2 linked regions of the Yarrowia lipolytica genome follow. The protein of the gene in region 1 interacts with the protein of each later gene in a biochemical or structural test. Links are inferred from orthologs where the notes say so. Each region holds a gene or a part of one and is shown in the gene's direction. Other genes may lie near its edges.

The links.
Region 2: the proteins of YALI1_F35938g (region 1) and YALI1_E32636g form a complex in vitro, tested with the Saccharomyces cerevisiae proteins (2 studies listed by BioGRID). The link is inferred for Yarrowia lipolytica from reciprocal best matches to the Saccharomyces cerevisiae genes NUP116 and CEX1.

Annotation. Positions count from the first base shown.
Region 1 is NC_090775.1:3,592,718-3,596,643, forward strand, and holds the start of YALI1_F35938g (uncharacterized protein), read left to right. Parts: upstream 1-1,100; coding exon 1,101-3,926. Other genes in the region: YALI1_F35907g (uncharacterized protein), read left to right, coding at 1-8. UniProt on the Saccharomyces cerevisiae protein: Functions as a component of the nuclear pore complex (NPC).
Region 2 is NC_090774.1:3,262,742-3,266,562, forward strand, and holds YALI1_E32636g (uncharacterized protein), read left to right. Parts: upstream 1-928; coding exon 929-3,178; downstream 3,179-3,821. Other genes in the region: YALI1_E32664g (uncharacterized protein), read right to left, coding at 3,350-3,726. UniProt on the Saccharomyces cerevisiae protein: Component of the nuclear tRNA export machinery that my collect tRNA from the nuclear tRNA export receptors of the aminoacylation-dependent export and may deliver aminoacylated tRNAs to the translation machinery pathway at the nuclear pore complex.

The DNA of each region.
Region 1 (3,926 bases):
ATATTTAGACAGTAATTCATGACCCAATATTAGAAAAATGAGCCTTTGTTGCGTTTGAAGCGATATTATTGCCTTATCATACGCAGTCTTATGATTATTATTAGTAATCAAATGAAGAATGGAGACTAAAAAAGCCCGACGTGGGGCTTGAACCCACAGCCTTGAGATGACACCTAAGAATAAGAGTCTCACGCTCTACCGATTGAGCTAGCCAGGCATGTTTAACGATATTGAAAAAAGAAAATTGGACGTAGAATACCGTACATTTGATTAGTCAGCTGATTAGAATAAAAAAATTGAGTAATGAATCATCAGAATAAAAAAAAATTGAGCTGTAATGAATCATTAGTTAAAAAAAATATAAAAAAGAAAAAACGAGAAAAGAAAAATGGATCATTAGGATAAACAAAAAGTGTGTAATACATCCAAAGATTAAAAATAAAAAATAAAAAATAAAAAAACATCCCAGAAATCAAAAATGAAAAACCCTGAAAATGTATTTCCGTAGAACAAAATAATTAAGATGTCCTCAGAACAACCATAGGAGCTCTATAACGACGCGTTGCATAAATAGTAGTTGCATAAAGAAAACCAATAACAACGAGTAATACTCATCAAAGAATGCAGGTAAGATAAACACTGCGTTCGCAGAGTACAATATGTACACACACAACCTGACACGTCCTGTTGTTACACATTCCAGCAAGATCAGTTTATGCATGCAACAATACATACAACACAATACATTTAATCGTATACATACATCTGAGAAAAGGTCAACTATTGACAATATTTGTAAGTGGCGAAACCCTACAAAACATGGGACATGATATATGAGCCCCTCAGAAAAGAAACATCGGACAAACAGACTCGTGAGCTCGTTTCTCCACTATTTCAGTAAAATTTAATTTTGTTGCTTGAAACACTTTCAAAGTTGATACTGACTGCTCAAGTTGCTCCTCACACATGCCCAAAGTTGAGTTACCCTACCTGCGAACCACCTCCCAACTCATACAATTTAATGATTTATAGGCAGGAAAAAAAAGGCTGACACAGACTCAACATCACACCAAGATCTCATTGCTCCCGTCTTGAAAGCCATGTTCGGAAGCAGCAACACGACATTTGGCGGCGGCTCGTCGTTCGGTAACAACAACAACTCGTCTGGCGGCGGTCTTTTCGGCAACACCAACAATGCATCTTCTGGAGGCGGAATGTTTGGGGCTAAGCCAGCCACCAGCACTTTTGGTGGCGGTGGATTTGGAGCCTCGAACACCAACACCTCCACCAATGCGTTTGGGGCAGCTTCTTCATCCCCCTTCGGCTCGTCTTCGACCCCTTCTCCTGGTCAATGCCCCGGTACCACTCTTACTCCCTTTCAGCCGTTTACCGACAAGGATACTGCCAACGGAAAGATGATGACCAACATCTACGAGACCATCACCATGATGCCTCAGTATCGCACTTGGTCTCAGGAGGAGCTGCGGCTGGCTGATTACCAACAGGGTAAGCAGTACGGCACTGCTGGCGCCACGGCCACCAACACCTTTGGGGCTGCCAACACCGCTTCTCCCTTTGGATCTTCTTCCAACACCAACAACTCGCCGTTTGGAAACTCTTCCACTTCGGGTGGCAATACTTTTGGTGGCGGGTTCGGCCAGAACAAACCCGCTACTGGGGGCCTGTTTGGAAGCTCCAACACCAACACTGGTGGTGGATTTGGTACCTCGTCCACTTCTGGAGGCTTTGGCTCCAACACCACCAGCAACACTGGTGGATTCGGCGGATTCGGTCAGAACAACAACGCCACTAGCAACACCGGTGCATTTGGGGCTGCCAAGCCCTCGCCCTTTGGTGGTACCTCGTCTTTCGGCAGTGGCAACACTGGTGGAGGCATGTTCGGAAGCACCAACAACACCTCCAACACCACCAGTGGCTTCGGAGGTGGATTCGGACAGAACAACGCTAACACCAACACCACTGGCGGTTTCGGCGGAGGATTTGGCCAGAACAACACCACCAACAACTCTGGCGGAGGTCTGTTCGGTAACAATAACACCACCAACAACACCTCGGGGGGATTTGGCCAGACTTCCACCTCTACTGGCTTCGGTTTCGGTCAGAATAAGCCTGCTACCACCAGTTTCGGCCAGACCAACAACACTGGGGGTGGTCTCTTTGGCAACACCAACACCAACACCAACACCAACACCGGCGGCGGAATGTTTGGCCAGGCTAACAACAATACCTCAGGTGGAGGGCTGTTTGGTCAGAACAATAACACCAACAACAGCGGGGGAGGTCTGTTCGGTCAGACAAACAACACCAACACTACGAATAACGCATTTGGTGCGAACAACAACACTTCTGGAGGAGGCCTGTTTGGACAGAAGCCCGCAACTACCGGTTTCGGAGCAACCAACACAGGCACTACAACCGGCGGAGGACTGTTTGGCAACACTAACAACAACACTAACACCAATACAGGCGGTGGATTGTTCGGCAATAATAACAACACTAACACAAACACTGGTGGAGGTTTCGGAGGGTTTGGCCAGAACAACAACACTGCCAACACTGGGACCACCGGTGGCGGTTTGTTTGGCCAGAACAAACCTGCTACTGGAGGGCTGTTTGGCCAGAACACCACCACTCCTGCCTCGACCGGTACTACTGGAGGAGGCTTCTCGTTTGGCCAGAACAACAACAATGCCTCTTCCAACACTGGAGCCACCGGAGGAGGCCTCTTCGGCCAGAACAAGCCTGCAACCGGCGGTCTTTTCGGAAACAACAGCTCAACCACCACTACCAACACCACTGGCGGAGGGCTGTTTGGAAACAACAACGCCGCCTCCAACACCTCTGCTACCACCGGTGGAGGTCTGTTTGGTGCCAAGCCTGCGACTACTGGAGGAGGTCTGTTTGGCAGCAACAACACCACCAACACCTCCAACACCGGAGGAGGTCTGTTTGGCAACAACAACGCTAACACCAGCAACACTGGCGGTGGATTGTTCGGTAACAATAACGCCAACAATAACGCTAACACCTCTACTGGTGGCGGTCTGTTCGGCAACAACAATGCCATGAATAACAATAACATGAACAACATGGGTGCCAGAAACAACCAGACTCCTTCGCTCACGGCGTCCATTGACCAGAACCCCTACTCGAACAACCCCTTGTTCTCTGGTCAGACTCCTCCTGCTCTGACCTCTTCTGGTTCCAACGGCACTGCCAAGGATCCTCTGACCACCTCTCTAACCTCCAAGAGCGGAGCCAAGAGCGGCAACAACGGCGTATCTTCTGCATCTTACCTTTCGTCGTCTCGACCACTGTTCCAGCCTCGAAAGAAGACGTCTGCCATTGCTTCCGAGCATGTTGCGCACCAGCGAAACTACCCGGAGGACCGGTTTGAGCGAATCTCTCTACCCGAGGTCGCCTCTGCTGGCAACACTTCTGTGTCTAGCGTGGGCAACACATCTATGTCCACGGCCAGCAAGCCTCGCCACTCTCTGTTCTCTCCCAAGACAGATGAGTTCTTGCTGGGGTCGGACGCCTTTGTGCCTCGACGAGAGATCCGAAAGCTGGTCATTGACCGTTCTGGCGACGAGGCTGAGCTGCGACGTCTGACTCAGGGCGAGGACCCTGAGCTGGAGGATCCTCACCAGCACCAAAACGTCCATGATACTCCTTCCAAGGCTCCTCTCAAATCATCTCTCAGTACTCCGAACAGCCAGCAGCGAAAGAAGTCAGTGTCTTTCTCTGCGGCTGGAGACAACTCCGTGTTAAATGGTTTGAACGACCCTGACTCGCTTGAAATGGCTCCCGTTTCTCAGTCAGGAACTCCTTCATTCTTCCCCAAGTCTACGGCCTCTCCTATTCACAAGGCTGTGTCTGTGGAGTCCTCCGCCACTGCTTCTCCC
Region 2 (3,821 bases), on another chromosome or scaffold:
ATTTGGGGTGTCTACTTTACTTGTAGCAGAGGATACGGGGCTCTAGCCTTCCAAATGGGTACTGACGGATCTTTTGATCTGATTGTACTAGCGTGAGAGGTTGTTGCTGACCAGAAGAGTTATTGTAACGTTGAAAAGGTAATTCGGCCAGCTGTTTACAATAGGTAGTCTGACCTGGTACAGTATACTCTTCCTCCTAACAATCCTCGAAGTACATGAGAAGAGGCATTGGTAGTCTTCAGAATGACTGGCTACTCATAATTGGGGGTGTCCTATGATGCCTCTACTGTTACTTGTACGAACACAAGTACATACTATGGTTGTGCAAGCAAGACGAAACGCTCTCAAGAACACCACCTGCCTGAATTTGTAACATTTGCGTACAGCACTTGTAGCTACAGCATGATACATACTGGAAGAAAGGGTGTGCAGTCGCTAGTTTAAGATACTACAAGATATTACAACACTAATTTATCATCAATAAAGACGAATCAAATAGAGGGATGTGCTTTCGTTGTTTACTCCCTTGTTTCACCATTTTTTCACTGTTCTTTTGATCATAATATTCAGAAGCTGACTCCACTGTCTGCCTCCTTCTTTTGCCTATTCTGCCTCGCCTTTTACAAGGAACTATTTTTCGCGCCGTGCTCTGCATTAAGTTTGTGCGCGTGTCATTTTGTTTCATTTGGACGGGATGTAGACAAGGCACCAGGAGGGGGATAATAAGAGACTGACAGTAGATAAATATCCATAAAATATATATGAGAACCCGTAGCTCCCATATGTCCGTAGAACAAAAAAAAAACACGTACCATCATCTCTCTAGCTTGCTTCCGCTATCAGGGCTCAGATATGCATAAGATCAGGTGCTCGCGCACACAAGGCAACTTTCATCACCCTACCAGCACAACTACAACCACACCCGACTATGGACTTTCTCACCAAGGCCATTGGCACCGTCTCGTCGTACGGCTCCAAGCTGCCGTTTGTGCTGGGCGACGCGACGCAAAAGGCCAGCGAGGGCAGATCGCTATGGACGGTATATGATGCGACCCTCAAGTCCAATTCTTCCGACTGCACCGTGTTTGAATTTGTCGCTGACCAGACATATCCTCGTGACCGCATTGTTGTTGTCAAACACTTCGCACGGTCGCTCAAAACTTATCGTTTTCCGGGTATTCTCAAGGTCCACGACACGGTTGAAACAGACACTTCGGTACACGTTGTGACTGAAAGATGCAGATCTCTGGCACAGGTGATCCGAGACTCCAAGGACGAGCTATCGGCCGACCGAATTTTGTGGGGACTCTACTTTGTGACCGAAACGCTCAAACAAATCAACGCAGAAGGAGCTTCAACTCACGGCAACATCTCTCTCGACTCCATCTTCATCACAGCTTCTGGAGAATGGAAGGTGGGGGGTCTGGAACTTATCACCGCCCAGAAAGACGCTCAGAGTGCTCTGGCTTCATTTGGACCTCTTCTTCCTAACTCCTCAAACAATGCCCCTCCTGAAATCAAGAACCAAGGATACCAGTCTGCCCAGAGCGCAGCCTCCAAGCTGGCCATTGATTCCTGGCAGTTTGGAAACCTGCTGCAGTCTCTCTACACAGCTGTGGGTGTGGATATGCCTGCTGGAATGCCCGCCATGGTATCTCAGATGACCAGCGTCAAGCCTGAGAAGCGACCTCGTATCCCCAAGTTCCTGGAACAGGCGCAGGTCTCGTTTTTCGGCGACCATGACATGATTTCCGTGTCCCAGGACATCTCTCAGTTCCATATCATTTCCGAACCCATGGAGCGACGCCATGTGCTGGAAACACTTACAAAATTTAGGCAGGCGTTCCCCCCTGCATACCTGGCTTCCAGCGTTATCCCCGAGCTCCTTAGAGCTCTGACTCCACCTACACCGTCGTCATCTCAGATCAACTTGTCCAACGACCCCGGTGTCTTCCAATCTGACTCAGAGAGACCCCAGATTCTCGTATGCATCTTGGCCCTGGCTGAGGGACTGTCTTCCAAGGACTATGCAACTCTGGTGATCCCCACCATCGCCAAGATGTACACTTGTCCCGATAGACCTATTCGAATGGCTCTTCTGGAGGCCCTGCCTTCTTATGCCCCCCATGTGTCCGAGAAGGTGGCCTCTGATCAGATTTTCCCTCAGTTTATCACCGGTTTCTCCGATACATCCCCTCTCATTCGAGAGTCCACTGTAAAGGCTGTGTTGCCGCTGATTCCTCATCTTAATTCCCGAATCAAAAACAACGATCTTCTGCGCTACCTCGCCAAGACTCACAACGACAAGGAGCCCGGTATTCGAACGAACACCACCGTCATTCTCGGCAAGATTGCTGACGAGCTGTCTTCCTCTGCACGAACAGGTATTCTGGTGACTGCGTTTGGTCGAGCTCTCAAGGACCCCTTCGTACACACACGAAACGCTGCTCTTTTGGCATTGGCCTCCAACATGGACATTTTCGATGCGTCCTCCATCGTCAACAAGGTGCTGCCTGCCATTGCTCCTAGTCTCATTGACAACGATCCTGCTATTCGCGCTCAAGCGAAATTGACCTTTGACGAGTTTCTGGCTGAAGTTGTCAAGCATACCTATAATCTGGATGATGATACCGAGATCACTGAGCCTCCTCAGTCGTCAGTTACACTCTTGGCCACCAAACAGAAGGAGAAGGATGCATCCAAGACCGAGGCAGGCTCTGCGTGGTCTCTTTCGTGGTCCTCTCCTTTCACATTTGGTACTAAAACCCAATCCACATCTTCCTCCACTGCCGGAACTCCCGTGGTGGCTCAAGGCACCATCTCTCGACAGGAGTCCCCTGCTCCTATTGTTGACGAAGTTGATTCACTGGCTTCCGCAGCCCGAACCATGTCCATCAAGCCCAAGAGCGGTCTCTCTCTCGGCTCCACCAAGCCCAAGCTTGCTGCTAGTGGCCTAGGTATCAAAAGTACTCTTGCTACAAAGAAACCAGCTGCTCCTCCTACCCTGCAAGACAACGACGGCTGGGGTCTGGATGACAACTGGGACGATGGATCTGACGGCGAGGTGGTCATCAAGGAGGCCCCCAAAACTAAGCCTGCTCCCAAGACCAAGAAGCCTGCCAAACTGGATCTGGATGACGATGAAGATGGAGATGATGATGGCTGGGACAATTGGTAGGACTAATGGTTCATATAGATGATATTGCCGATGACGGGAGTCCGTGAAAATAAGAGTTGAAAAGAGACTCGTGTATGTAAATCTCCACATTATTAATATTGGTTTGTACGCTGTTCGTTCATTTGAAAGTCAATTAATCTATACCATTTTTTCTATGAAGTTTTAGTTAGTCTACCATCGGGAGTTGGAAAGAGGAGCGGAGTTGGAGCCGGTGATGTCGGAACCTCGTCCTCCACCATAGCCACCGCCGCCGTAGCCACCTCGTCGGTAACCACCACGGCCGCCACGGCCGCCTCGACCGCCTCGGCCTCCCCAGCCTCCTCGGCCACCTCGGCCACCGCCCATCTCCTCCAGCTTGGGGTCGATATGCTGCTTGGCCTCTCGCAGGATGACGAGAAGGTCTCGGGCCTGCTTTCGGTTGTCCTCGGTGAAGTAGGTGTAAGCGGTACCCTTGGTGCCGGCTCGACCAGTTCGACCGATTCGGTGGACATAGTCCTCGGAGTTGGAGGGGTAGTCGTAGTTGATAACGAAGTTGATACCCTTGACATCTAGAGTTAGTATTTGGAAGAACAGAATAAATGAATGTGGAAGTTCAACATATGAAGCAAAGGAAAGGATGGTACTACACAAACATGAATAAGTG